Macaca fascicularis: one gene and its partners. The protein of the gene in region 1 binds, or shares a complex with, the protein of each later gene. Links are inferred from orthologs where the notes say so. Each region holds a gene or a part of one and is shown in the gene's direction. Other genes may lie near its edges.

Region 1 (4,591 bases):
GGGAGGGGGGTGTGCATATGGGTACATAGGCACTGTGTTGGCACCAAAGAGCTAAATAAAAGGATTTTTGAATTTTTCTCATTCCTAGATCATTGTCTACCCTCACCCTTCCTGGTGCCCCTTTCTCATTCCCACTCCTAGTCCAGAGTACTTGCTGGAAGTGTATGTGGGATTCGCTGTTAGCGCATTTAAGGTTCAGTGTTAGCTCAGGCATTCAATGAATTTTTTTTTTTAATTTTAATTTTTATTTTTATTTTTATTTTTATTTTTGAGACAGGTTTTGCTCTGTTGCCCAGGCTGGAGTGCAGTGATTCTATGCCTGCTCACTGCAACCTCTGCCTCCTGGGTTTGAGCAATTCTCCTGCCTTGGCCTCCAGAGTAGCTGGGATTACAGGTGCACACCACCACGCCCACTAATTTTTGGTATTTTTAGTAGAGTTCAGGTTTCACCATGTTGGCCATGCTGGTCTGGAATTCCTGACCTCAAGTAATCTGCCCACCTTGGCTTCCCAAAGTGCTGGGATTACAGGCATGCGCCACCGCGGCTGACCTCAATGAACTTTTCTTTTTGAGACAAAGTCTCACTCTGTCTCATTCTGTCACCCAGGCTGGAGTACAGTGGCCCGATCTTGGCTCATTGCAGCCTCAACCTCCCAGACTCAACTGATCCTCTCACCTTGGCCTCCTTACTAGCTGGGACTACAAACACACACCACCACACCCTGCTAATTTTTGTATTTTTTGTAGAGACAGAGTTTCACCACTTGCACCGGCTGGTCTTGAACTCCTGAGCTCTAGCCATTTGCCCACCTCAGCCTCCCAAAGTGTTGGGATTACAGGCATGAGCCACCACGCCTGGCCTCAGTGATCATTTACAGGGAGCATAGTATATGTGGGGACTGTGCAGAGAAGGGGCCAGAGTCCCAGAGATAAAGCCCACAACCTTTACACCTGTAGGGGTGGGAGGAGGTGAGGAAGAAAGATACACAGCAGATGCTCCACAGTGAGGCAGGTGCTATGCCAGAGGTGTGTACACTCAGGGATGTTCTGGGAGTCTTCCAGCCCACTGGAGAGGGGTTTACTGTTTCCCTGACATGGGATTGCTTGGGGGGTGGGTTGAGGGTATGTTTGGGGAGTCTTGGCTGATGGTGCAAATACTGAGCTAGGTAGAGGGTGCTGTGGAGCTGTCCTGACTTAGGCTGCCCAGTGCCTTCTCCAGACAATGTCATGGGGCTGAGGAGGGGAAACCTAATTTTGGCATGAGGGGGCCACTCTGCCGTTTGAGGTTCCATATCCAAGGCTACCGCTTCCTGATCTCTGTTGCCGCAGGCTTGAAACCTTCCATCCTGTCTCCCTCTCCCACTGCCCCTGCCCCATCCCAGGCCTGTGTGTAAGTTCTTCTCCCCATCCCCCACCCTCCTCAGGGGACAGATTGGGAAGCCACTGGCTGGACTGGATGGAATGACAGCTGTCTGGCCTCAGGAGCTCAGGCCCGGCAGTGGGGAGCCGAGTGGAGGCTAATTTTACTTGCTGGGAGTGGGGAGAGTAATCCTCCTGCCCCCACTGCTGCCCCCGCCCCCCGGCTGGCTCAGCAGGGCAGGCTCAGCCGACAGCCTCAGCCAGCCCAGTCCTCAAGGCGGGGGGCATTGGGGACGCAGGGAAGAGAGGGCACTGGGGAGGGGGAGCCAGATTCCCAGGGAAGCCATGGAGCCGTCCTCACCCCAGGATGAAGGCCTGAGGAAGAAACAGCCCAAGAAGCCGGTTCCTGAGATTTTGCCAAGGCCACCCCGGGCCTTGTTCTGCCTGACCCTGGAGAACCCCCTGAGGAAGGCCTGCATCAGCATCGTAGAATGGAAGTATCCTTCAGGGCCCAGGCCGTGGTGGGGAGCATGCATCATGGGGGAGGGATTCAGGGGTGATCACAGAGCACACACTTCCTACAGGAGGGCCAGGGAGGCCTGGGACTTAGACCTGGGGTGAACTCACAGAATTGAGTGAGGCTGGGGGAAGGAGCCCTCAGCTGCGCAGGAGAGGAGGAGGAGGAAGAGGAGGGAGAGAAGGAGGAGGGGGGAGGAGGAACAGGAAGAGGAGGAGGAAGAGGAGGAGGACTTGGTGGGGCTTCCTGGGCCTGAGCAGGCCACCCAAGTCCTGGGTGACAACCAGAGATGCCTACTGACCACCTATGGGTGGGGCCTGCTTCATGGGGACTGTTCCCAGGTGTGCCCAAATCCACATTATCATGGGGTGCCACTAGGTTTTTGAAGCACCAGCCTCATTTCAGAATAGGATAGGAACCAATAAAAGGTTCAATGGCCTCTTTGAGAAAACTCCCCCTTGTTTGGGTTGGGTGGCGGGTGACCCCTCTGGGGGCAGATCCCAGCTGAGGACAGAGCCAAGGGAAAAAATGGGTCTGAAAGACACCTGGTCTGAGTGGCTCCAAGACACAGGCCAAGCAAGCCTGGGTGTTCTAGCTCAGACGTGCCACCCTGGGGACAGAGACTTCGAATCTCATGCTGTGTTTGCATTTGCTCTGGGGGGAAGAATGCTGAAAATATCCGGGTTATCTGGGGAAGGGAGGAAGGAGTGACAGAGAGAAGGGGAGGGCTGTGTCAAGTGGGTTCTGAGAGCGAGGGTCGGGCATATTTGAAATATTTCTGAAGGGTTCTGGAAGGCTGGGCTCCTACCAACTGTTCCCTAGAAGGAAGGAGAATGAGGGATAACTAGAAGGACAAGACAAACGTGGGGCAAGTAGAGATATCTTGGGGTCAGTGTCAGCCTTGTTCCCTTCACCTGCCCTTGGCCAGTCGGTGAATCACCCACATCGAACCCTCCTAGGCCCTCCCTCCTTGCCTCTCTTCTGCAAACAGGTTTACTCCATGGGTTCTCCCTCTCCTCCATCCTCTGCTCCTCTGCACCTTCCCCTCTCGTAGCCCCCTGCCCCTGTGGCCCTCCTCTTTTCTCAAACACTGGAGGTTACTGGGAAGAGAATGGGATTTTTCTGCCAAGCCCATCTACATAATATGCCTCCCCATCCGCCCCCAAACAACTGCCTCGCTTCCTCCCTTGCTTTCTCTAGCTCTTTCCACACTTGCTGCCTAATGGGTCAGAAAGTCAAGAAAGCCATGGACCTGGGGTACCCTCTAGAAATGGCTGTGGGTGGGTGTGTCTGGGAGGGGCGAGGTGTGATGGGTGTGAGCACGAGCACACCAGCATGCACACATGGCTCTGGAAATTCATCGTTCATCTCTCCATCCCTCATTCCCAGTCCTGCTCGGTGAGTTCTCAACCTTACCCCGCAGCAACCCTTACCCTCCCGTGCCATTTCTCTGGGTGAGCCTCTGTGGATTGGCCAGAATCTGGGAAAGTCATGGCTCCCTGGGAGGAGGCGAGGGCGTAGACAGGCACTGAGAGTGGAGCGGTGTGAAGACCCCCTAGGCCTTAAAGCTGAGTAGCCCTTAGCCAGGGACCAGACCTTTACCATTCCAAGGAGTCTATGTGAAAGCGACTTGTTCCTGAGGAAAGGGAGCCAGTTGTCAAGGCAGGAACCTGGTCCTCACTGTATCCTGCAGGTGCTCAGGGAAGGAGCATCGTGGGTGAGTGTCCAACAGCCTGTCCACCTGCCTGGCATCAGAGTCACAGTCCAAACTGACCCTCAGCGCCCTCTTCCCCTTAACCCTGTAAGTCCCATGCCCCTGTGGCCCAAGGGCTCTCCTTAACCCTGGCTCCAGGCCCTTCGAGACGATCATCTTGCTTACCATCTTTGCCAACTGTGTGGCCTTGGCCGTGTACCTGCCCATGCCAGAAGATGACAACAACTCTCTGAACCTCGGCCTGGTAAGATTGGCTCTTCCATCCCCCTTCCTGCCGGCCTGCAGCCCCAGGCTTGGGGAGGCCCCCTTGGTGGACTCTGTTCTGGGGGATGGTGCTGGTGGTTTAACTCCCTGCATCCCCACCCACCTGCAGGGCTGGCTGAGTGGCTCAACAGGTTTCCAGGGTCAACGTGCTTATTCTAGATTCTGTGACATTGTCAGCCAGCACTGAGCACACAGTCATTGGTCCCGGGCACTGTGCTAATACCGGATGAGAGTAAACTCATTTAATCTTCACAACCACCTCATAAAGTGGTTCCATTTGATAGATGTGGAAACTGAGGCTTCGTAAGGTCAGCTAGTGAACCACAGAGGTTGAATGCTAATTTCCCTTCCCTAGATGTAATTCATAAGAAACTTGTGTCCACTAAGTTTGCCTTCATGGGAGAGTTTTATCCAGGAATCTGAAGCAAGAACATGTTTTAGAGTTCTACAATACCACTTTCTCTTCACCCCTTCATCGGTAACACATACCTGGAACCATAAAATGCCGGGGCTGGAAGGGATATTCAAAAATTAGGCTGTCCTACCTCCTCCCCACCTGATTCTGTTTTATGGATGAGGAAATTGAGGCCTAGATAGCTTCAAGGACTTACTTACCCAATAGTTAATTTATAATAAAAATGGTTAGCATTTAGTAAGTACTTATTAAATGCCAGGATTTGAGCTAAATATTTTACATTATTTTATTATTTAATCCCCATAACTACTCCTGTGGGGTA
Region 2 (4,472 bases), on another chromosome or scaffold:
CTAACCATTGGTTAAGACTTCGGGCTCTGGGTCCTGAAACCTGGCTTCCTCATTTTCCCGCTGTGTGACCTTAGACAAGTGACTTCACGTCTCTGAGTGTCCATGTCCTTGTCTGTGAAATGGCAGTAACAGTTGTGTTACTGTGAAATGGCAAAAACAGCCACAGTTCCCTTGTGGATTTGGTGTGAAGAGTAACTGCGATGATGGATGAAGGCTTAGCAGAGTGCCTGTTAGATAGTAAGCACTCACTGAAGATGAGCCACTGCTCCTATTATCATCATCATGAACTTTCTGTGATTCCAAGGCTGGAGGCCGAAATGTTTCTGTCCACATGGGCAGAGTCTCTGTAAATCGTGTCAATCTGAGGCAAGAATTTTGAAGTTCAAGGCCCCATCCAGCTCAGGAGGCTATTCCTGATCATGCATCAGCCTCTCGGCTACACCCAAAAAGGGCCACCCAGTGAGCTGAGAAGGGAGAGATGGCACAACCCAGGAGAGACGTAGAGGCCGCAGCCTCGGGGACAGGCCTGGGGGCCAGGCAGGCGCACAGGACCCTCGGAGGGTGGTCGATCCCAGGCTTTCTGTGTTCTCTGCCATATCCGCACACCCATGAGCTCCTGATGATCCCCTATAAATCAACCTATTCGTTCTTTTTCACTCACACACATATTTTGCAAATTAAAACGTAACTGGAAAATCGTTATCACCTGCTGTTAGTAGAAGGCAAAACCAAACACAGTGCCCTGAAAACAGAACAACCAAGTCCAGCAGGATTCCTCGTCCTCTTCAGGCCGTTCTCGCTTTGTTTCAGAGGACACTTTGCGGGCAGTAATGACACTGACCTCGAACGGAGCTCTGCTCTGGACCCAGTTTTGGGGATGGAAAGAGAATTGAAAAGGAAGTAATGTTCTCGTGGAGGGATCAGAGTTGGGTAAGGCCAGGCCTGGGAACCACCTAAAATCTTCCTGTGGTTTGCGGGATGCTGTGGGGTTTGTGGCTAAAACGCTTGCCTGAGAGGTGGACTCCACAGGCCCCGGACAGGGTCCCTGGGATGTCCCTAGACAGAATCCTAGGCCCCCCAGATCCCAGGATGAGAACCTACTCACTGCCCCGCCGGTAGTAGGCTTACAATGTGGGAGCCCGGGACGGCCGTGCAGCCTGCAGCTCCTGGTCTCCTCCCCTGGCCTGGGGTGCCCTTTCCCATCAGCCCAGAGCAGACAGATCTCCACCCCTGGGGCCCTGCTGCCCACCCCTCGCCCCCTCCCAACTCAGGCACCCTGAGCTGCTACTCCATAGAGGCCTCAATCCACCATCCAGAGCCTTCTCTCCTTGCCCCGCCCCCCACTGGGGTATTTCTGGCTCCCAGAGGGGCAGACAGCGCTGAAACCCGAGCAGAAGCCGTCCCCGGTGCCACGCCTGGAGAGGGGCATTAATAGCAGCCTTCCTCAGGCCCCTGACGCGTCTGGGCAGCTGCTCAGCACATCCCGCGTCCCTCAGCCCCAGGGCCAGCCCACTCTGGCTCAGCCAGGCACACTAAACTTAGTGGCCACTCCCAACTCGACAACCACCGCCACCCCCCAGCTCGGCTGTCACCTGCCGGAGGAGACGCAGCCGCCAGACCCTGCCCAGGGCACCCACGCCTCGGCGACCACCATGTCCCAGACCAAAACGCTGAAGGTCCGCGTGACCCTCTTCTGCATCCTGGCAGGCATCGTGCTGGCCATGACGGCCGTGGTAACCGACCACTGGGCTGTGCTGAGCCCCCACATGGAGCACCACAACACCACCTGCGAGGCGGCCCACTTCGGCCTCTGGCGGATTTGTACCAAGCGCATCCCCATGGACGACAGCAAGACCTGCGGGCCCATCACCCTGCCCGGGGGTAACGTACCCACCCTCCGTCCCGATCCCCACCTCCCGCCCTTCCCCGTCGTCCCCCGGACAAATTTGCCCATGCCAAGGAAGGCAGGTTTCTCAGGCTAGAGATAGGGCAGCCGCCCAGCCCTTTCTGCCCAGGGAAGAAGATCTGAATTGCATGTGCTGTGCTGGTGGCTGGGGCTGGGTTGTAAGACGAGGGCGTTTGTCCCAGCTATTTCTGTCTGGCTGGACCCTGGGGCTTTTCGCCCAGAACAGAGAGCTGGGCAGGCTCAAGACGGGAACCGCAGCTCTACCAGCCCAGGGACTTCTGGGCTCCATCTGGTCACTCTCTCCCTGCAAAGACATGCTGGGTGGCTCTGTGTCCTCAGGCTGGGGGAAACCATGGAGCTGGCAGGTTTGTCCCTGGCCTCAAGGCAGGGGAGGAGAGAGGACAGGCGACGGAATATGCAGGGTCCTGTGCAAAATGAAAATGCAGGGTTCCTTGCTCCAAATTACCAAGGATTTCAAGGCAGCGATAGCAGCACATGAATCCAAGCATGGACCCTTGTGGGCCCTGGGCCTGGAGAAGCTGCACAGGTTGAATGCCTGTGAAGCAGGACGTGGCTGTGGGTGAGCCACCTGCCCCTACCTTTTTTTTTTTTTTTTTTTTTTTTTTGAGACAGAGTTTTGCTCTGTCGCCCAGGCTGGAATGCAGTGGTACAATCTTGGCTCACTGCAACCTCCGCCTCCTGGACTCAAGTGATTCTCCTGCCTTGGCTTCCCCAGTAGCTGGGATTACAGGCATGCGCCGCCACACCCATCTAAGTTTTGTACTTTCAGTACAGACGGGGTTTTGGCATGTTGACCAGGCTGGTCTTGAACCCCTGACCTCAGGTGATCCACCTGCCTTGGCCTCCCAAAGTGCTGGGATTACAGGCGTGAGCCACCGTGCCTGGCCTCCGCCCGCCCTTTTGTCAGGACGTCAGTCCATTATGCATCCTCCGTTAGCTCAGACCCTGTCAGAGTTACAAAGCATTTCCTCACCCTGTAATTTAAGCGTGTTCCTCGATTTCCTACCATGTGACCGAACCACATGTCGAAGGTAAGCTCCTTTTCAGGAGTACCTGGTAGTTGCATGACTAGCCTCTATTCTGCAAATGCCGAGGCTTCTGGATTCTTAGCAAATACAGCACTTTAGAGGAAAGGGTGCTACGTGGAGACCAGGCGGCCAGGGATCTAGTCACCATTGCCCATTACCCTCAAATGACCATCCAGCGAGGACAAAGATCATCTCAGCCTCTGCTTCTTCCTCTATAAAATATGGGACTGACTCTCAGCAATGTAAGATCCCTTCCCAGGTTTACAGACGCCCATCCACAGTGGCAGTGGAGCAGGGTTATGTCAGTGTGATGTCCCACCTGGTTTTCAGGATTATTCCCTCTTTTACCAGACTTTGGTGTTCCTTGAAACCTGTCCTTCAAGGACACTAGGGCTGAGTCCCCAAAGATCTTGCAGTCTGCATGTGAACCAAAGAGCCAACACCCCATCCTCCCATATCTCTGCTCCCTCTTCTTTCCCTGCTGCTTGCTCCAGAGATCCCCTCCCTCATTCACGCCCACTGGACGCCCAGAAGACTCGTAAGTGCCCAACTGTTATAGAAACACCGAGTCCCAGGGCTGAGGGTGACAGGTGTGGCCATGTGCTGGCAGGGTATCGCATAGCCCGGATGCCCATGCCCCTTGGCGACTGCCAAGCACACCCATAAACAGGCAATCCCTCCAGCCAACTCCCCTGGGCAGGGCAGGGCAGGGCAGCTTCTTCAGGGACCACGCATAGGGACGTGCTGTTACAGTCCTGTTCACCCGTCCTTGGAACCATCTGCCTTTTAAAGTCAGAGCAGAGGACTGGGCAGTGAGCAGAGTCCACACAAGGAAGAGACAGGCTGGTGAGAGGTGACTAGACCAATTACAGGGGACCAACAGGCATTGCTTGTTGGACCAACAGGCCTTGAGCCTCACCAGGATCTACCTCTTTGCCTTCTTAGCCTAACCAGCTATGAACCATACTTCCCACACTTGTGACACTGAGCACTACCTTTCTCCCAGTCATCTTCCAAAGTATGTTCCTACCTTTTTCCCTCTCTTTTCTCTGCAAATGGACATCTTTCTCCTTCCCCATATGCCCTTCTTGTGCCCCCTGGGACCATTCTTGTCTGGAGGGAGGAAGCGGGTTGATATGTGGCCTCTCATTTATTATTAACAACAACAACAATAATAATGGCACATACATGTAACCCTATGTGCCGAATATTGTTGTAAATGCTTTACGTGTATCAACTTTGAATGACATCACGAAAAAGATGATAGAGAAAAAGAACTTCCAAAAATCTTCTTCTCCATAAAAGCAATGAGAAGGCTGGTGGAAATGGTCAGAATCAACATTTTCAGAACTCTGGAAATTAACCAAAGTCCAGCAAGAAAAATGGGTGAATCTCAGGAGGACCAGTGAGTTCTGTGGTGTTTTAACTTGACTTATTCCTGATTCCCTTTCCCAGCTCTGTGGTAACCTCGCAAACCAACATTCATAACCACAGCGAAAATCAGCATCCCAGTAGCC
Region 3 (3,220 bases), on another chromosome or scaffold:
CTCTTTTTCTGAGAAAGGGTGAGCACTCATGGGAGAGATGGGCTTCTGGACCTTACTTTGCTACCTCTAATGCTTCCTCCCATCCCATCCTACAGCCGCCTGGTTTCCGTCGGGCCTATAGTTCCCCACTCTACAGCAACCAGCAGTACGCTTGTATCAAAGATCTCTGTAAGTGCCCTTTATGGAACATGAGGGAATGGGCAAGCCTAGAGATGGTTTCATGCCATCTCTAGCTTTGGAAGCCAAATTCTGAAACAGAAACTTTCTATTTCCCATAATTCTCCCTCAACCTAACATTTTTATATCCATTTGGATGCAGAGGCAATATCCCCATTTTACAGCAGAGGGAGATAAGATTTAGTTGCAACTACATACAGTTAGCAAGAGGTAGCGCCAAGACTGGAATCTTCAGTTGCTAGCTTCAGAATCTGTGCTCTTCATGTGCAAAATCATTTCTAAGCAAGAACAAGGATTCTAGATTGTCCTCATCCTTACTACAGAGTCATACCAGACTTGGGGCAAGACCCAAAGGCTGCAGGCACCCTGGGCATGTTCATAATTTGGCAACCCTTAAAAGTATATTCATTGACAAATTTGCTCAACATTTATTTGGAGCAGAGGCTGAACTCTGTGAAGAGCATGGGTGAAAAAGAAGAACCTATTGGTGGCAGCACCTCAGCTTACACATGCCATTCAGCAGAACAAAAACCAGAAGTTAAGGGCCCATTCTCCTTAGAAGGAGAATAGTGATTCTGAGCATGTCTCAACTCCCAAGCAACCAAAGTTGTCTTTCAAACGTCATATAATGCTCTGCCTGGAAGGAGTTCTGATAAATACTTTTCTCCCTCACATTACATCACCAGTGATGTTTTTAGAGTCCTTTCTAGATCGGTGTCCTAGGTATTGCTCAGCTGACCCTTCCCTAATCTTCCCCCACGGCGCCCCCACTGCCACCCAGCACACACATGGGTATCCATCTACTCGATCCTGCCTTTCGCTTCCTTTCCTCCAAGCCTTTCTCTGCCTCCCCAATAATGTCTTCTTTCTCCTCCAATTTGATTAGCTGCTGCCAATCGCAATGACCCTGTGTTTGAAACCCTGCGCACTGGGGTGATCATGGCAAACAAGGAACGGAAGAAGGGACAGGCAGATAAAAAAAATGTGAGCACTGTACCTCCCCACGAGGTCCCTCCCAGAGATCCCATGGAGCAGGTCATTTTCCCATTTGGGAAGCTGACAGAAGTAATGGATTATCTTCCCCTAAAATTGCACATAACCCGACCAGGCATGGTGGCTCATGCCTGTAATCCCAGCACTTTGGAAGGCCAGGGCGGGTGGATCATGAAGCCAGGAGATCAAGACCATCCTGGCCAACATGGTGAAACCTCGTCTTTACTAAAAATACAAAAATTAGCCAGGCATGGTTGTGTGTAATCCCAGCTACTCGGGAGGCTGAGGCAAGAGAATCACTTGAACCCAGGAGGCGGAGGTTGCAGTGAGCTGAAATCACACCACTGCACTCTAGCCTGGGTGACAGAGCAAGACTCCATCTCAAAAAAAAAAAAAAAAAAAGGCCGGGTGAGGTGGCTCATGCCTGTAATCCCAGCACTTTGGGAGGCCAAGGCGGGTGGATTACCTGAGGTCAGGAGTTTGAGACCAGCCTGGCCAACATGGTGAAACCCCGTCTCCACTAAAAATACAAAAATTAGCCAGGTGTGGTAGCACACGCCTGTAATCCCAGCTACTTGGGAGGCTGAGGCAGGAGAATTGCTTGAGCCCAGGAGGCGGAGGTTGCAGTGAGCCGAGATCGTGCCACTGCACGCCAGCCTAGCCGACAGAGTGAGATTCTGTCTTAAAAAAAAAAAAAAGAAAAGAAAAAGAAAAAAAAAATTGCACATAACCCAACAGAAATATTTTTGCATGCAATTTTAGGGGGTTTTGGGACCTACTGCAGCTCACTCACCATGGGCCTCTGGTTAAGAACTCTAGCCATAGATTACGTTTTCTCAGCTTCCTTCTGAAATAGTCAGATTAGCCACTACAACCACATGAAGGCTAGGCCCAAAGTCTTTGGCATTGCTGGGTGACAGAGGCAAGAGCTGTGCTTTTGGATGTAGGAAAGAGAACTTGTCATGCCAAGTAACTGGAGAATTCTAGAGCCATGCAAGGATCCATGAAGATCATCTGGTCTGACCCATTCATTTTACAGATGATGAAACTGAGGCACAAAGCTACTGGCCAAGATAAACCTCATTTCCTTTTGTAACAGGGTTTCTAGGTTAGTAATGCCATAGATTTGCATTCAGTTCAGCATGGAATTTGTTAGAATATTCTTATATCTTTCTGGACAACCAGGATTGGACCAGTATGGATGATGGTTACAGTTAGATGGACTCCTAAAATTGGTTGAGTGGCAGTACTCAGAGTCCAGGTCCTTTCAGTATTATACAGCTAGAGGGAGATTTCTGGTGCGTTATAACATGATTTAGATATAATGAAGATACAAATTGTATGTTCATGCCAGGTGCGGTGGCTCACGCCTGTAATCCCAACACTTTGGGACGCCAAGGTGGGCAGATTACTTGAGGTCAGGAGTTCGAAACCTGCCTGGCCAACATGGTGAAACCCTGTCTCTACTGAAAACACACACACACACACACACTATATATATATATATATATATCTCCAGGGCGTGGTGGCACTCACTTATAATCCCAGCTACTTGGGAGGCTGAGGCAGGAGAATCGCTTGAACCCGGGAGGCAGAGGTTGCAGTGAGCCACTGCACTTCACACTTCAGCCTGAGGGAGAAAGCAAGATCTTGTCTCAAAAAAAAAAAAAAAAAAAGAAAAGAAAAGATAAATGTACATATTTGTTCTTGATCAAAAAATCACCTGCAAAAAACAGAACTAGAAATCTGGCCTCAGACTTGTTGATATGGAGGTTGGGCACAGATAAGGGATTTCTATGGAGTGAATTCTGACTTACAAGGCACTAGCAGTGTGATTTGGCTGCTTCCAGAAGGGCTAACATACTCTTGGGTTATATTCTTTTAAGGGAATTATAAAAATTGTGCTGCTCTTTTTTTTTTTTTTTTTTTTTTTGACGGAGTTTCGCTGTTGTTGCCCAGGCTGGAGTGCAATGGCATGATCTTGGCTCACCACAAACTCCGCCTCCCAGAGTCAAGTAATTATCCTGCCTCAACCTCCCAAGTAGCTGGG
Region 4 (3,795 bases), on another chromosome or scaffold:
CGCCTGTAATCCCAGCACTTTGGGAGGCCGAGGCAGGTGGATCACGTGAGGTCAGGAGTTCAAGACTAGCCTGACCAACATGGTGAAACCCCATCTCTACTAAAAATACAAAAAATTAGCTGGGCGTGGTGGCGGGCACCTGTAATCCCAGCAACTTGGGAGGCTGAGGCAGGAGAATCACTTGAACGCAGGAGGTGGAGGTTGCAATGAGCCGAGATCGTACCATTGCACTCCAGCCTGGGCAACAAGAGCGAAACTCTGTCTCCACAAAAAAAAAAAGAAAAAAAAATAGGTTAAAAGGAATATCACATGAAAAACTATGTTACTTTGTATATATGGTGTATATAAGAAATATATAGAAGAGGCCGGGCATGGTGGCTCATGCCTGTAATCCCAGCACTTTGGGAGGCCGAGGCAGGCAGATCACCCAAGGTCAGGAGTTCTAGACCAGCCTGGCCAACACAGTGAAACCCTGTCTCTACTAAAAATACAAAAAATTAGCTGGGTGCGGTGGCTCACGTCTATAATCCCAGCTACTCGGGAGGCTGAAGCAGGAGAATCAATTGAACTCCAGAGGAGGAGGTTGCAGTGAGCTGAGATTGCACCACTGTACTGCAGCCTGAGCTACACAGTGAGACTCTGTCAAAAAAAAAAAAAAAAGAAAAGAAAAGAAAGAAAGAAATATATAGAAGCAATCCACTTGCCCATAATGGGGAAAGAAATACAATACCACTTAGAACAATACAATTTTCACCATTTCTGAGCTTACCTGTTTTTTCCACCTTGTGGATAAATAGATATTAGCTAAAGAGAGAATAAATGCTTATCTGTAAATTCTTTTGGTTTGATTTGTTTTTTTCTTTTTTTTGAGACAGGGACTGACTTTGTCCCCCAGGCTGGAGTGCAGTCGCGTGATCACAGCTCACTGCAGCCTAGACCCCCTGGGCTGAAGTGATCCTCTTGCCTTAGCCTCCCAAGTTGTTGGGCGTATAGGTGCCTGCCACCACACCTAGCTAATTTTTGTTTTTGATTTTTAGTGAGAAGAGGTCTTGCTGTGTTCCCAGGCTGATCTTGAACTCCCAGGCTCAAGCAATCCTCTTGCCTTGGCCTCACAAAATGCTGGGATTACAGGCGTGAGCCACCACTTCCGGCCCTTTATCTGTAAAATTTCGAAGCATCAAAGAAGGAAAGAGAGCTTAATTAATATCATCTTTAGTAGTTGAACGAACTCAAGGAGGAGAAATAATAGAAGAAAAGGTCATGGCTTTCATAATTCGTTGCAGCCATGAGTAAGAGCTGCTATAGTTATAGCATATATTCCCCGGTTCTTTTTTCATTCAAAAGACTGTACCTTTCGGAATTATGTCATTAATGATGAATTAATTAAAGTAGATGTTTGGGGTAGTGAGGCAGTTACTAAGTCCTTTCCACTGAAACCGAAGAACTGGGCATTTTATTCACGTTTGTGTTTCCTGATTTACAGTTGCTACAAGCGCCAATGTTGAAAACACATATTTCTGTGGCTCATCTTCGCCGTCTTTACTTGTAGTGCTTTCAAAGAGAACAATGGCTTTTTCTAGTTCAGAAATGGGTGCTACGTAGCTCAGAGCTAGGAGATTTCACGTGTTGTGAATATGAACAAACTGTTTTGTGATAAAGAACCAATGCAGCGGGGAAACCAACATCGATTACAGCAGTTATTCAGTGTATCTTTGTATTTGAGGGGAAGAAGGAGGGACACTGTTGTTTTGTTCTTATTTTTTTCCCTCTTTCTGTTCCCACTTTAGACAAAGCCCGTGGCATTTGCGGTTCGGACAAATGTCAGCTACAGTGCGGCCCATGAAGATGATGTTCCAGTGCCTGGCATGGCCATCTCATTCGAAGCAAAAGATTTTCTGCATGTTAAGGAAGTAAGGAGAATAATTTCATTTTCTATCAGCATGATGTTTCACCTTGACATACCATTTCTTATTTCCTATTCAGATGCCATTTCTGTGAAGCAGCATCACACATCACTGCAGTTGTATAACATACATACTAAATCAATGGCTCTCAACCTCTGCTAATATAAATATACCTTTTAAAGTGGAAAGAAGTCACGGGCCTCTTGCAATAACTTCAGCGCTCCCTGGGGCTCTGTGGCCCAGAAATTGGGAACTGCTAGAGTAGATGATCCTTTTTTATACTTACCCTGTACTTCTTCTTTTAATGTTTCACCTTGACTAGGTGTAGTTTTCTGATGCCTGAAGTCTAGCCATCTGGGGAAGGTTTAATAATAATATCTAGAATTCGTGACTCCTCTCTGCTGGCAGTGTCTAAACTCAAACTACTGATGCCCTTTTTCCTCCTTAAATGCTAAATTTCTGCAGTGGATGAGAGAATGGTAAGCATTGATGCCAGTAAGGCAACAAAGAGGTATCAGGAAAAGTCCTTTTCCCACATGCTAAATGTCTCCACCTTTTAGTGAGCAATGATACAACCTGCAAACTGGAAACATTCATCCTTAATTAAGCTTTGCTTGGAGTCAACATTTATCAAATGCCTGCCTTGTGGAGCACTGTGTTAACTGACCAGAAATTTCCCCTGTAGAATATTCTCAGTGTGTGATCCTGAGGTTTTTCTTGGACCTGGAGGAATTTATACTTGGAGCCCTTCCATGTAGGGTATAATATGTTATAGGAAGCATGTGTAAATTTAATCTCTTCACTGCACTAAAGGCTGTCAGCAAAGGAGTTGATGACTGCCAATTAAAAGAGCCTAGGGCCGGGCGCAGTGGCTCATGCCTGTAATCCCAGCACTTTGGGAGGCCAAGGCGGGCGGATCACAAGGTCAGGAAACCAAGACCATCCTGGCCAACATGGCGAAACCCTGTCTCCACTAAAAATACAAAAATTAGCTGGGTGTAGTGGTATATGCCTGTAATCTCAGCTACTCGGGAGGCTGAGGTAGGAGAATAGCTTGAATCAGGGAGTCGGAGGTTGCAGTGAGCCGAGATCGCGCCGCTGCACCCCAGCCTGGCGACAGAGTGAGATTCAGTCTAAAAAAAAAAAAAAAAAAAGAACCTAGAAGCCTGGATACTATGGCTCATGCCTGTAATCCAAGCGCTTTGAGAGGTCAAGGAAACCTGATCTCTTGAACCCAGGAGTTTGAGACCAGCCTGGGCAACAGGGTAAAACCCCATCTCTACAAAAAAAAAAAAAAATTAGCTGGGCATGGTGGCACACACTGGGAGTCCCAGCTACTCAGGAGGCTGAGGCCAGTGGATTGATTGAGCCTGGGAGTTCAAGACGGAAGCGAGCTGGGATCATGTCAATGTATTCCAGCCTGGGCGACAGAGCAAGACCCTATCTCGATTAAAAATAAAACAACCTAGAGAATTTAGAGCCTACCATTTTGGTAACCTCTGAAAAGAGATGTCAAATACTGGCTTGGTGGGAACAATAGAAAAAGTTATCAGAAGTGATGCTGTGCCTAGAATCTCACTTAACACCGGGAAGTTAGATTATTACGGGGCCTCTTCTTGATGGTTGGTGCTGAAAGGGGAAAGGAGAAAAACAGAATGTATATTCTTCTTTGAGGTGTTCAAGGACAGATTTATTCCATCAAGGAAAATGAAGGCAGATCATAAAGATTTAAGATACATATTCCACCTGCAAGAGATAAATTGTCAACATCACACAAGTAGAGAAATCATCTGTGAACATCGCACTGTGTAATTATAAAACTGTTTGCACAAAGGTAAATTGTCCTGTGACATGAAATATTTAAGGTAGACTTCAATATTTATCTCTTTCT
Region 5 (4,325 bases), on another chromosome or scaffold:
TTTTCTTGCTAAGATAACACCGATAAGTGACCCAGGTGGGAAGCCACTTGGTTTGGGTGGGCTTTCTCTCTCCCATGCACAGTGCCTTCTACCACAGATCTTATTAAGCTATGTCAGAGTTTTGGATGTCTGATTCTCCTCAAGCCTAGGAGGGATGAGCAGATTGCTGAACTCCCGGGTGTGAGAAATTGGGAAAGGAAAAGGACTGAGCTCAGGGCCAAGGGCATGGGCACCAGGAGGCCTCCAAGTGTACCCCTGTCTATGGACGTCCTCCTTGTGGGGCACAAAGGTAGGCAGTCAAAAATCAAAGAAGGAATTTTGCTCAGGAGATGAAAAAAGGAGAGAGCTCAAATGGGTGGATCTTTGGGGAAAGTTTCCTCAATATAAGGGCTGCGGCTCTCTTACCTCAAATCTCAGTGTTCCTGTGAAGGAGACTGAGTGGTGCAGAGTGGTACAAGCCCTTCTGCTGAGGGGAGAATCTGGCCTTACCCTAGTGACTCTGAGGAGACTGGCCCTTTCCTCTCCTAACCCCAGTGTAGCCAGGATCCCACCCACAACTATCCCCTACCACCACCCTCTGGTTTCTCTCCCCTCCCTTTAGGCTCACCTAAAATAGCCCCTTTCTGACCCAGTTCCCACGGATGCCTTGGCACTGTCTGGCACGATCCTTGGCAGGGAAGTGGGGAACGGAACCCCCATCCTGGCCGGACTAAGACGAAATCTATCTGTGCAACAGGTGTGGGGAGGCCTATCCAGCTCACGGAAAGTTCCTCCCTTCTCAAGGGCTAGGCAACACCGCCTTTGCCGCAGCGTTCCCGTACTGAGGGGGCCGGGCACCTGTTGGGGCAGGAGTTGCCGTCCTGGCATTAGCCTGGGGGCACTAAGCCCATTCCTCCCCGGGACTACTGCGGGGTCTGCTTCGGAGCCTCCGGGACGCACGGGCCCAGACCCGCACTGCTGTCGCCTGGGACCCCTCCCCCGTCTGCCGCTTGTTCCCGCGCCTCTTCTGTCTCCCAGGGTCTCCCCATTTTCCTGTCCTCTCCGTCCTCCCTCTGCCTCTCTCTCTCCGGCTTCCTCGACACCTGCGCCCTCTCCAGTCTCCGCCCGGGTCGCGTCTTCCTCGCGGTCTCAGCGCCCCCTCCCTCCCCCGCCGCAGCCCTTTGTTTCCCGGCGGAGTAGTTCCTGGGTTGCCGAGCGTCTCTGTCTCCGCATCTCTCCTCGCCCCGCCTCCTCCCTGCCTGGATCCGCCCCGCCCGCAGCCTCTCCTCCCCTTCCTCCCAGCCGCCAAGGCCCCGTAGGTGCTCCGGGACCCACCTTCCACCCAGCACGGGTCCGTTCCCCTCTCCGGGCCTGGCCCGGGCTCCCCGGTGGCCGCCGCCCCCTCGCCGCCCCCGCCTTCTCCCAGGGAGGGGGTCAGGTGGGCGGGCACTATTGTTGTAGGAGCGGGCGCCAGATTCCTCAGCCGCGCTCGGGGTGGGACCGGCTGGGTTTGGGGGGGTGGGGTGGGGGGAGCGGTGATTTGAGCTCCGAGCAGCTGGTCTTCGCGGCTCGCTCCCTCCTTCGCGCTCTCTCGCTCCCCGCCGCCGCCCGCAGGGCTGCGGGGCTCCGTGGCATCTCCCGGGCGCGGCCCGCAGTCCTCGCCCCTGCCTCCGGGCCGCTCCCGCCCCCGGCGCCGCTCGCTTCCCCCACCCGGACTCCCCCATGTATGACGACTCCTACGTGCCCGGGTTTGAGGACTCGGAGGCGGTGAGTGCCCACGGTGAGGGTGGGGGCGGGGAAGTTGGGGTGACACCTCCTCTCCCTTCAACCCTTCCCCCAGTTCAGGACTTTGAAAAACGCCTCAGTGGCAGGGCAGTGTGTGTAGGGGGGCGCTCTAAAAACGTGGGGAGATGGATTTTCATGCCAAGCGCTCCCCAGCGACCCAGACTCAGACCCTGGGGCATCGGGTGTGTGCAGAGAGGGGGCAGTATAGGGGAAGGGCTCAAGCAGGTGGCTCCACGGCCCAGGAAAGAGGGGTGGGAGGAGGCAGGGCTGGAGGCCGAGGGCACAGAGGCTCTGGAGAGGGAACACGCCATGTCTGGAGTTCCAAATTCTGGATTTCTGGGGTCTGAACACAACAGCTAGGAGAGCCGCCGAGGTAGTTGGGGAGGCAGACATTCCGGACCTCTTGTGCCTCAAGCAAACAACACATTAGGGAGCTGAGAGGACACCAGGGAGCCAGGGACCAGCCTCTTTAGACAGAGGGATCCTAAAACTTGAGGAGCTCCATTATTCCCTTCTACCCCCTCCATCTCTGCGCACTGCCTCATCTCCTCACCCTTTCTCTAGCCCAGTTTCCCTCTCAGGCTGAAACCTGGGCACCCAGCACATGGGTAGGCCAGGTGACTGAGCCCCATCCATTCCACAGCCCCCTGCTGAGGCTTCCTCTGAGCAGCGGGCATCCTGAGCTCTTGCCCAGCATGGAGGGCCTGGAGGTGAGGCCAGAGGAGCTGAGGGCCTGGGGATGGAGAGGATGCGCTTTGCTCAGAGAAACAGGCAACCAATAAATATTTAATTCTCCTCTTTGCTTTTATCTCCTGACCCACTGAGACAAATCAGCTCATTAAGCAGTGATTCCCGGAGCTCAGACAGCAGGGAGAGTGCCTGGAAAGATGGGGCAAGAATGCGGAGCAGCTTCTCAGACCCTTGGAGCTGCCAACTTTCCCTCAAATGTCCTGTAAGAAGGCCTCCTTAGGAGTGGACCAATAGATGGCTTGGAAGGGGTCCCGATAGGATGGAGCACCCCTGGGTCGGAAAGAGGAGTATGTTCCAGTCTTCTCCCATCACTTGCTGCCAGGCCCAGGATAGATGAGTGCTGATGCTCAGAATAGGCAACTGTCCTTTTCTGGGACTGGGCTCCTTCTGGGCCCAATTTTCCATGGGGCCTCTGGGGTAATTACATTGCTGCTAGAGCAGATCATTTTCAAGGCTCTGGTGGACACCTCTTTCTGACAGTTGAAGGGACAGCTGGTATAGCCCAGGGTGCCAAGGTGAGCTTGAGAACAAACCTCTCTGTGGGGCTGGAGGGCCCTAGGAGGTTCTTCCCATCCCTGGTGAGAAGGCAAGGGCTATTGCAAGGAACAGACTGACATGTGGATGGTGTTGGAGGACAGCCTGCTGACCCATTGCTCCCTCCCATCGCTCTCTGGCTCCTGATCACCCTCCCCCACCTCCCTTTCTCTTGCCTGGCTCCTTGCTCTCCCTGAGGCCCCCTCTGAAGCAGTAGGAGGGAGATCAGGCTCTAAATAAATCCAACGGCTCATCTCCCTCCTCTCCTTCCCCCGTGCCAGGCAAGAGAGGAGCTGCAGCCTGCCCACACACTCACTAGGCAAGGGGGGCACCACCAGGGCACTGTGCCAACTCCTGGCAGCTCCAAAGTACTGACACTCTGGCTCTTTTGGCATAGCAGGGTACAGGAAAGGTAAGACCCTAGATCATGCCTGGCAGGGCAGCCCTGGCCTCCCGAAGTAATACCGGAGCACGAGAGATAAGTTAGCCTGGAGGACTTGGAAGTAATGGAGAGGGGCTTCCATTCTGAGCACAACTCATTAATTATTTAGGGAGAGACGGCCGGGCGCGGTGGCTCAAGCCTGTAATCCCAGCACTTTGGGAGGCCGAGGCGGGCGGATCACAAGGTCAGGAGATCGAGACCACAGTGAAACCCCGTCTCTACTAAAAATACAAAAAATTAGCCGGGCGCGGTGGCGGGCGCCTGTAGTCCCAGCTACTCAGGAGGCTGAGGCAGGAGAATGGCGGGAACCCGGGAGGCGGAGCTTGCAGTGAGCCGAGATCGCGCCACTGCACTCCAGCCTGGGCAACAGCGTGAGACTCCGTCTCAAAAAAAAAAAAAAAAAATTATTTAGGGAGAGATCCTGTGATTCCCATCCCAGGGTGAGAGGTCAGGTAACCCCAGATGCCCCAGGCGTTATTACTACTAAATTAGGCCGCAAGGTGGCTCAGGCCTGTAATCCCAGCGCTTTGGGTGGCCAAGCCGGGCGGATCACTTGAGGTCAGGAGTTGGAAACCAGCCTGGCCAATATGGTGAAAGCCCGTGTCTCCTAAAAATACAGAAATTAGCCTAGCATGGTGGCGCATGCCTGTAGTCCCAACCACTCAGGAGGCTGGGGCAGGAGAAATGCTTGAATCCTGGAGGCAGAGGTTGCAGTGAGCCAACATCACGCCATTACACTCCAGCCTGGGCATCACAGTAAGACTCCGTCTCAAAAAAAAAAATTACTAAATTAAACCAGGCACAGAGACTCATGCCTATAATCTCAGTGCTTTGC
Region 6 (4,497 bases), on another chromosome or scaffold:
ACACCCAATGCAAAAATCCAAGGAGAGCATTCTGGGGTTTAAGAAGTCTACATCTGAATTGAGGCTCCAACTCATCATTGGTTCCCGCTGATCACCCTATCCGTTTCATCTCAACTTTCCTGGCTGAGAAAGTAGAAGAAAGAGAAAGGGAATCAACATTTATGCTACTTCCTCACAACAACACAATTAGCGTTGCCCTCATTTTACAGCTGAGGTAACAGATTGAGAACGCAGGTATTTCTGATTGCAAAGCCCATGCTTTTGCGGTTATGCCAGGCTTTCTCCTCTCCAAGGGTCAGGTGGAAGCCGTGCTCAGGATTGGAGCTCTCCTGGAATGTTTCTAATGGGCTTTATCTTCACTCACTGCTCCTCCTTCCCGAAGGTGTTGTGATCAGAGGAATGACAGAGCGGCCATTCATTTGTTATCACAGGTGAGGAGGAGGAGTCCCATAGTCTCCTCTCCTGCAGAACACAGCAAGCTGGTGGCCTTATTTTAAGGTCGCTTGACCTGGAGAGGGTCTTCTCCACCTCTCCTTTCTGTGGAGCAGGGGTGGAGTAGGGAGGGAATGGCTGACTCCTTCATTGAAACTTACAGCTTCTCCAAACACCCTAGCAATTCATTTAATTCCCTCATCCTCCCAATAATCCCAGGTGACACAGACTCCACAGTGCCAGCAACCACATTTTATAGGAGAGGAGAAAACTGGTGCTTAGGTGGTTTGTCCAGGGCTATACAACCAGAAACAGCCTGAGCTAAATTGGCACCAGGGTCTATTGCCCAGAATCTCCTATTCCTCCTCTATCCACCTGTCTTGGTGGGTGGAGTCCAGACCTTGGATGTTTGTCCCTAAATCAGGGGTAAAGGTGGAGCAATTCTAGGTCAAAGGTCATGAGATCTGATTTTACCAGCCTCTTCTTTCTCGGCTCCATATTGCTTCCTCTTTTCTCATCCAACAGCAGGGACTTCGCCCAGCCCCATTCATGGCCTTTTGGAAGAGCGGGTCAGGGGTGGGGGCGTGTATCCTAGTGACCGATTAGGGCAGAACTCCTGGACCCCTGGGATTTCTTTTGCTGTCGCTGTTGGACACCGTCCCCATCTCAGCCTCAGCCTCCCACCGGCAGCCCCAGAGCCATGTTGGAGGGGTAGAGGCTTTTCTGTTTGGTTTAAGGCAGCCTGGGTCCCGCACTGGGGAGAAAGGAGTTAAAGCCAGGTCCCAGGATCACCGGGACCGGGAAGTTCTGGTGGCCCAAACAGGAGTGGGTTGGGGGGACCCGCAGGAAGATAGGTTTGAGACAAAAGGGGGCGGTGCTAGCCATGCCAGTCCGCGCTTCATCCCCATCAGCGCTCGGCATCCACTGGTAGACCGACCCCCGACCCCTTCCCCAAGTATCCACGCCTAGTTTCTCCCTTCCCGCCCCAGCGGGCCGCCTGCACCCCACAGCCAGTCAGAGGCCCACCTGCGGCCCTCTAGAGCCGAGAGGCGCTTGCCTCCCAGCTTGCCGCACGCCCATTGTGTGCGCCGAGCCGGAGGAGGGGCTGCGAGGGGCGGGGCCGGGGCGGGCGGAGGGAGGGAGCGAGGGAGGGGCGCGGGGAGATGCTGAGCCTGCTGGGGAGGCGGCGGCGGCAGTGGAGAGAGCGGGAGGAGCGAGGGAAGGCAGGAAGGAGGCAGCCGAAGGCCGAGCTGGGTGGCTGGACCGGGTGCTGGCTGTGCCGCGCTGCTTTCGGCTCCCACGGCCTCTCCCATGCGCTGAGGGCGCCCGGCTGGGCCGGGCCGGCGGCGGGAGGGGAGGCTCCTCTCCATGGTCCAGAAGACCGGCATGTCCCGGGGCCCTTACCCACCCTCCCAGGAGATCCCCATGGAGGTCTTCGACCCCAGCCCGCAGGTGAGGCGTGGTGGCCCGGCCCGAGAGGAGGGGGCCGCTCCCACGGACAGTGTTGAGGTCGGCTCGAAAGGCGCGGGAGAGGAAGGGGTTATATGCCGGGCGCGAAGGGGAGAGGGATGCCTGCGCGTCCCCGATCCTTGCAGGTTGTGATTGATGGGCTCTGGGCCTGGGGCTGGGTGGCGATGCTGCGGAGCGGGGAGGGGGCGGGTGGGCTGCCTGTCACCCTCGCCTCCTTGTCTCCCCCGCGTCAAGGTTCCTGCCGCTTGGGCACCAGCTTCAGTGGGCTGAGCGTAGGGGTGCTGGTGGTGGTGGGATCTGGGCCTTGAGAAGGGGAGGTTGAAGGAGGCTAGAAAGCGAGCCAGGCAAGGGGGGCGACGCAGAGCACGCTCGGGGGCGCCAGGCGGGTGTGGGTGGGGCGGGGGTGGCACGAGGAGGTGGCCAAGGCGATGGTCAGAGGGCGGTGCCAAATGCAAACAGGCCTTCAGAGCCGCAGACACTGGATCTTGAGGGTGGGGAAAGGGCCAACTCCGGGCGAGGTCCCCTCCCAGCCACCTGGGCTCCATCTCCATGTCGGACCTGCTCCCCTCCCCCAACACCCACGTTGACTTACCCCACCCCCACCCCCGCCCTGAAAACGCCTCCAAAGTTTGGAAAGTTGGATGGATGCCAACTCACTGCCCGGGAAGGGGAAGAGCTGTTTTACCTGGGGGAGGGGTCTACTTCTCCATCCCCACCCGCACACTTTTCTTACGCCCCTGGTAACCCCTAGGAAGTGGCATTCTTGGGCGCGGTGGGTTCCCATGGGGTGACCAGCAGGCTCTGGGATGGTCGCGCCAGGGGATTTCTTTGGGACTGTCCTTCTCCAAGGATAGCATTAACTCTTCTGTTACTGTGGCCACCAGCTGTAACCACCATGATAATGTGATTGATGGGTATGTAGAGGGGTCAAGTCAGACCTAAAAATACCTTCCTCCACCCCAGGCCCCTTTGAGCCTGGGAGGCAGCTGACTGGGGCCTTCCTTTCAGCTGTCCCCTGTCCCTCTGAGTGCCACTCCCTTTGCCCAGCCTGGCAGTGCAGGGGGAGGGTGGTGTCTGGGATTCACTGGGGAATCCTCTTAGGTTTGTAGGGAGCGCCAGAACTAGAGTTGGGGTATATGTCTGGTTTGAGAGACGAGTGGGGAGAGGAGGATCTTGGAAAGGTCCCCAGGTGCCCTCCTCTCCCATTTTCCATCCTCTTTCTTGTACCCTGATCCCAGCAGCCAAAGCCCCCAGTCTGGTCATGGCCCCTCCAGGTTCTTTGGCCAAAGAAGGTCTAGGATGGAGACCAAGAGCAGGGACTTGGAAGTCTGAGCCCTCACTCACTCTCCCCATTCTGGACTGGGCTGAGGCCAAGTGTGTGTGCGCCTACGAGATGGGGAGGGCCAGAAGCAGCTCTTCTTACAGGAGGCCTGGAAATACCTGACGCCCTTAACCTGAACGTGTTGCTTCCTCAATGGTCAGGCTGAGCCAGGAGCTGGGTCTGTGAGACTGAGCCAGCCAGTCTACCCGCTAGGGATCTGTGGGGCTGTGTCCTAGGCTCATGTGGGGTGGGGCCGAGGGATATTTAGATTGATATAGCCTGATGGGTACCATGCACATGGGGCGTTGGCAGTGGCAGCTGGGGGCCACAGGGTACAAGCTTCATCCCTCTTGCCTCCTTGGGGAGGGTTGTAGCTACTGTGATTGTGAGAGAGGGAGCTGAGAAAAAGTCCTGTCGGGGCAAGGGATGAGAGTGGGAAGCAAAATCTGCCCCTATGGTGCCAGGGATCGGGCTGGATGTTTACTCTCCAAATACAGTTCCATGCCCCTACTCCCTCCCCAGAAATCTGGCTCTGAGTCTCCAAGAGAGCTGTCATCCCCTCCCTACTCTGTGAATAGCAAAGGAAGAGTTGGGCACAGGGGAGAAGCCAGGCTGGGCCCTGGGTTGGCAGTTCCTCCTCTCTGGGGGCCACCAACACAAACAGCCCTGCTCTGCTCCTGCGGAGGGGGAGTGGGGGGGGACTTTCCCGCTCTCTCCCCCCGCCCCGCACACCCAGCACTGCCGGCTGCCTCTCCCTTCCTCGGAGGCCTCTGCAGCCTGCCCAGCATCTTAATTAGCTCTGCTGCCTAATGAGCCTCCAGCTTCTCCGTGCCTCCCCCATTCCCAGCCTCTCTAGCTTGGTTTGGGGGTTTCCATGTGGGCCTCCCAGGGCTCTCTTGCATTGGTCCCCACTCCTGGCTGTGCTCTGGGTCCTCTCTATGAGGATGGGAGACCCTCCCTCCCCTTGGGCCGCACCACCTCAGGAGGAAGGTGCAGGGGCTTGGGGGTAGGGCTCTTCGGATCTGGGAATGCTGTTCCCGAGCTTGGCTGTAGCTCTGGGGCTGGCAAGATGAGGGTTGGGAAAGGGCCCTTCTGATTCTACTCTTGTTCCTTTCCTGGCCTCTCCAGGGCAAATACAGCAAGAGAAAAGGGCGATTCAAACGGTCGGATGGGAGCACGTCCTCAGATACCACATCCAACAGCTTTGTCCGCCAGGTAATGGGGAGGCTGGGCAGAGAGGAGGGAGGTGGCCGGTTGGTAGAGACCAGCATTGG
Region 7 (3,795 bases), on another chromosome or scaffold:
CTCAAGGGGCTCACAATCTCCTGGGGGAGTGAGAAAAATAACAAGCATCACCTGAGCGGAGGCTGTGGTGGACGTTGGGCCGGATGCAGCGGACACCAGCGGAGGGAGTGGGTCATGAGGCAGAATTCCTGCAGAAGACAGTTTCCCGGAGGAGGAAGGGCCAGTGGAAGCACATTGGCAGGATAAAGAGGGTATGGACTGAGTGAGGCAGAGAAGAGGACAAACATGTCAAAAGCTCAGAGGCATAAAAGCATGCATGAGTTCGAGAATCCTCATTTCTGGGCTGTAAAGGCACAGGTTGGAAGGATAGGTTTGGCTAAGTTGCAAGGAGAGCCTCACGGCTGGGGCGAGAGCCTTGGACGCTGTCCTGAGGAGCCAGGAAGGTATCACCCCGCAACAGCTGTATGGAGGGCAGGTGGAAGCAGGGGGTGGGAGGGGAGGCTGTGGCCTTGAAGCAGGCTGGGGCATAAGGGCCTGAACTAAGGGCTGTGAGGTGATGAATCAATGGGAGGGGAGGGCTAGAGAGATGTTCTCGGGGGAGAATCAGTCCCAAGGATGAGGGTCTGGGACGACCACTCCTCACCCCCCACCAGCCTGTTCGAGAACACAGGTGGATACTATGTTGCCCAGGCTGGTCTCCAACTCCTTGGCTCAAGGGATTCCCTCCGGCCTCAGCCTCCCAGAGTGTTGAGATTATAGGCAGGAGCCACCACACCACGCCTATTTTTTTTTTTAAACTTGAGTAAATGGTACACCCATGCAACAAAATACTTTGTAGCTATAAAAAAGAATGATGAATCTATTTATGTATGGGTATGGAATGATTTCCAAGATTTACTGTTTATGAAAAAAAACAAGGCACAGGAAATATAGTATACTACCATTTCTTCAAGGAAAAATGGAACTAAACCTCTTAAACTTGTTTCTATCCAATTTCACATAAAAGTCTATATTTCTTTTGAAAAATTAGAAAACCTGGCAACACTGGGCTGGCCTTATAGACAAGCCTTAATTGGCTTGAGGAGGTCTGCAGTTACTCCCTGGCCATCCAGACTGCCACAGTCCCCGCCACTCTTGATTGCCCGGCCAGAACTCCTTTCTCCGCGGAGGTCACCCACCGGGCTCTTGTGGCACCTGAGATTGCGAAGCATTGTCAGGACCTGGGGAGCCTCTCTCTCCCTGTTTCATTTCGCTCGGCCCTTAGCCCCCATGCTGCTGCTGCTGCCACCCCTACCTCCAGAGACACCCTGAGGGGAAGCCCACCGTGGCCAGCCCCCTCTAGGCTCCCACTCACAGCTCCCTCTTCTTCTCAGCTCCAGCGATTCAAGCGTTCCCTCTCCCTCAAGACCATCCTCCGAAGTAAGAGCGTGGAGAACTTCTTCCTTCGCTCGGGCTCTGAGCTCAAGTGCCCCACCGAGGTGCTGCTGACGCCCCCAACCCCACTGCCCCCTCCCTCCCCACCACCCACAGCCTCGGACAGGGGCCTGCCCACCCCATCCCCCTCCCCATGCCCAGTCCCACGCCCCCTGGCAGCGCTCAAACCAGTGAGGCTGCACAGCTTCCAGGAACATGTCTTCAAGCGAGCCAGCCCTTGTGAGCTGTGCCATCAGCTCATTGTCGGTAGGTGCCTGGGCACTGAGGCGGCCTAAGGGAGGGGACGGCGTGGGTGCTGGGGAGTGGGCCCATGTTGCTGCCCAATATATTATTGGGTTCTTGCTGTTCAGGGGCCCCAATACTAACTGTGCCTCTTTTATTTTTATTTTATTTTATTTTTTTGAGACAGAGTCTTGCTCTGTCTCCCAGGCTGGAGTGCAGTGACACGATCTTGGTTCACTGCAACCTCCACCTCCCTGGTTTAAGGGATCTTCCTGCCTCAGTCTCTGGAGTAGCCGGGACTACAGGCACATACTACCATGCCCAGCTAATTTTATTTTTTATTTTTTATTTTTTTTTTTGAGACGGAGTCTTGCTCTGTCGCCCAGGCTGGGGTGCAGTGGCCGGATCTCAGCTCACTGCAAGCTCCGCCTCCCGGGTTTACGCCATTCTCCTGCCTCAGCCTCCTGAGTAGCTGGGACTACAGGCGCCCGCCACCTCGCCCGGCTAGTTTTTTGTATTTTTTAGTAGAGACGGGGTTTCACCGTGTTAGCCAGGATGGTCTCGATCTCCTGACCTCGTGATCCGCCCGTCTCGGCCTCCCAAAGTGCTGGGATTACAGGCTTGAGCCACCGCGCCCGGCCGCCCAGCTAATTTTAAATTTTATTTGTAGAGATAGGGTTGTGCCATGTTGCTCAGGCTGGTCAAACCCTGGGTCAAGCAATCCATCCGCCTCAGCCTCCCAAAGTGCTGGGATTACAGGCGTGAGCCATTGCACCCACCCCTAACTGTGCCTCTTACCCCAGGCGGAGAAAGGAGCACCGCCAGGCGTGGCGCTATACTCAGTGTCACTGCTGCATTTACTAATGACTCTGGCTTCCGTGCTCCCTCATACTCTAACTGTGTGAGGGGTAGGTGCTGAGCCTCAATGCTGGCACGAGAATGCCCAACCCTTGCTCTCCTCGTGCCATAACGTGCCCCTCCTTTGCCCTTTGCCCATGGGGGTGTCCTTAATTGTTGAACCCAAATTTTTCCTAGGAAACTCCAAGCAGGGCTTGCGATGTAAGACGTGCAAAGTCAGCGTCCACCTCTGGTGCTCTGAGGAGATCTCCCACCAGCAATGCCCAGGGAAGACGGTGAGCGGGGACCCAAGCAGAGATGGCCAACTGAGTGCTGCCAGTACTGTCACATGGGGGAATGAGTCTCCCTCGGGGCTGCTCCTTCCTGTGGGGTGGGCCCTGGGCTTGGGAAGGACCAAGTTCTCCATGGGCCATGACCTCCTCAAACCCTCTGTGACCTCTCTTGCCATAGTCCACCTCCTTCCGCCGCAACTTCAGCTCCCCTCTCCTGGTACATGAGCCGCCACCAGCCTGTGCCACAAGCAAAGAGTCCCCACCCACTGGTGAGTGCCACTGTCACTGCCCTGGCCGCTGTCCCTGCTCCCACTGTGGTGTGATGAGAAATCAACATCCCTGATCATCCTGGCCAACACGGTGAAACCCCATCTCTACTAAAAATACAAAAAATTAGCTGGGCGGGGTGATGGGCATCTGTGGTCCCAGCTACTCGGGAGGCTGAGGCAGGAGAATTGCTTGAACCCAGGAGGTGGAGGTTGCAGTGAGCCAAGATTACGCCACTGCACTCCAGCCTGGGCTACAGAGCGAGACTCCATCTTAAAAAAAAAAAAAAAGAAAGAAAGAAACATTTCTGAGATGGGTACGTGAGTCACGTTGGCACAGACAGTTCTTGGCTCTCCTACCATTTCCCTTCTCTGGATGCTCCTGTCCTGAATTTGGGGTTCATTCATTCATTTAGTCATCATTCCTTCAACAAGCACTTCATTAAGCACGTACTAAATGCCAGGCACAGTGCTGGACTCTGAGACACAGTAGTGAAGAAGGTGGAATTTATTGTCTAGTAAAGGAGATAGGACTGAAACGGACAGTCATGCAAATCATCAATCAATCACCATCAGTATGAGTGCCTTAAGTGGGGAAGATAGAGAATAGAGCATAGAATGTGTGCTGACAGCTGGGTGTGGTGGCTCGTTCCTGTAATCCCAGCTACTTGGGAGGCTGAGGCAGGAGGATTGCTTGAGCCCAGGAGTTGCAGTCCAGCCTAGGCAACATGGTGAGACCCTGTCTCTAAATTAAGAGAAAAGAAAAAGCTCAGGCCGGGCGCGGTGGCTCAAGCCTGTAATCC

Evidence for each region.
Region 2: CACNA1S (region 1) and CACNG1 share a complex: the UniProt entries of both Homo sapiens proteins name them as parts of the calcium channel complex. The link is inferred for Macaca fascicularis from reciprocal best matches to the Homo sapiens genes CACNA1S and CACNG1.
Region 3: CACNA1S (region 1) and STAC3 share a complex: the UniProt entries of both Homo sapiens proteins name them as parts of the calcium channel complex. The link is inferred for Macaca fascicularis from reciprocal best matches to the Homo sapiens genes CACNA1S and STAC3.
Region 4: CACNA1S (region 1) and CACNB2 share a complex: the UniProt entries of both Homo sapiens proteins name them as parts of the calcium channel complex. The link is inferred for Macaca fascicularis from reciprocal best matches to the Homo sapiens genes CACNA1S and CACNB2.
Region 5: CACNA1S (region 1) and CACNB3 share a complex: the UniProt entries of both Homo sapiens proteins name them as parts of the calcium channel complex. The link is inferred for Macaca fascicularis from reciprocal best matches to the Homo sapiens genes CACNA1S and CACNB3.
Region 6: CACNA1S (region 1) and CACNB1 share a complex: the UniProt entries of both Homo sapiens proteins name them as parts of the calcium channel complex. The link is inferred for Macaca fascicularis from reciprocal best matches to the Homo sapiens genes CACNA1S and CACNB1.
Region 7: the proteins of CACNA1S (region 1) and STAC2 are in contact, whole or in part, in a crystal structure (PDB 6B27), measured with the Homo sapiens proteins. The link is inferred for Macaca fascicularis from reciprocal best matches to the Homo sapiens genes CACNA1S and STAC2. Residues at the interface, in NP_000060.2 of Homo sapiens: Glu749, Pro750, Glu751, Ile752, Pro753, Ser755, Pro756, Arg757, Pro758; in NP_945344.1 of Homo sapiens: Tyr301, Lys302, Phe303, Gln306, Glu307, Asp310, Asn326, Asp328, Trp329, Phe340, Pro342, Asn344, Phe345.

The regions. Positions count from the first base shown.
Region 1 is NC_088375.1:58,850,024-58,854,614, reverse strand, and holds the start of CACNA1S (voltage-dependent L-type calcium channel subunit alpha-1S), read left to right. Parts: upstream 1-1,626; 5' UTR 1,627-1,704; coding exon 1,705-1,856; intron 1,857-3,728; coding exon 3,729-3,834; intron 3,835-4,591. UniProt on the Homo sapiens protein: Pore-forming, alpha-1S subunit of the voltage-gated calcium channel that gives rise to L-type calcium currents in skeletal muscle.
Region 2 is NC_088390.1:73,473,801-73,478,272, forward strand, and holds the start of CACNG1 (voltage-dependent calcium channel gamma-1 subunit), read left to right. Parts: upstream 1-1,547; 5' UTR 1,548-1,652; coding exon 1,653-1,881; intron 1,882-4,472. UniProt on the Homo sapiens protein: Regulatory subunit of the voltage-gated calcium channel that gives rise to L-type calcium currents in skeletal muscle. Regulates channel inactivation kinetics.
Region 3 is NC_088385.1:64,047,546-64,050,765, reverse strand, and holds part of STAC3 (SH3 and cysteine-rich domain-containing protein 3), read left to right. Parts: intron 1-95; coding exon 96-168; intron 169-1,063; coding exon 1,064-1,161; intron 1,162-3,220. UniProt on the Homo sapiens protein: Required for normal excitation-contraction coupling in skeletal muscle and for normal muscle contraction in response to membrane depolarization. Required for normal Ca(2+) release from the sarcplasmic reticulum, which ultimately leads to muscle contraction.
Region 4 is NC_088383.1:19,404,071-19,407,865, forward strand, and holds part of CACNB2 (voltage-dependent L-type calcium channel subunit beta-2), read left to right. Parts: intron 1-1,787; coding exon 1,788-1,910; intron 1,911-3,795. UniProt on the Homo sapiens protein: Beta subunit of voltage-dependent calcium channels which contributes to the function of the calcium channel by increasing peak calcium current. Plays a role in shifting voltage dependencies of activation and inactivation of the channel.
Region 5 is NC_088385.1:55,627,971-55,632,295, forward strand, and holds the start of CACNB3 (voltage-dependent L-type calcium channel subunit beta-3), read left to right. Parts: upstream 1-1,294; 5' UTR 1,295-1,701; coding exon of another isoform or gene 1,702-1,746; intron 1,747-2,407; 5' UTR 2,408-2,474; exon of another isoform or gene 2,475-2,598; 5' UTR 2,599-2,662; coding exon 2,663-2,716; intron 2,717-4,325. UniProt on the Homo sapiens protein: Regulatory subunit of the voltage-gated calcium channel that gives rise to L-type calcium currents. Increases CACNA1B peak calcium current and shifts the voltage dependencies of channel activation and inactivation.
Region 6 is NC_088390.1:60,227,166-60,231,662, reverse strand, and holds the start of CACNB1 (voltage-dependent L-type calcium channel subunit beta-1), read left to right. Parts: upstream 1-1,626; 5' UTR 1,627-1,800; coding exon 1,801-1,884; intron 1,885-4,351; coding exon 4,352-4,438; intron 4,439-4,497. UniProt on the Homo sapiens protein: Regulatory subunit of L-type calcium channels. Regulates the activity of L-type calcium channels that contain CACNA1A as pore-forming subunit.
Region 7 is NC_088390.1:60,249,060-60,252,854, reverse strand, and holds part of STAC2 (SH3 and cysteine-rich domain-containing protein 2), read left to right. Parts: intron 1-1,313; coding exon 1,314-1,620; intron 1,621-2,631; coding exon 2,632-2,729; intron 2,730-2,904; coding exon 2,905-2,995; intron 2,996-3,795. UniProt on the Homo sapiens protein: Plays a redundant role in promoting the expression of calcium channel CACNA1S at the cell membrane, and thereby contributes to increased channel activity. Slows down the inactivation rate of the calcium channel CACNA1C.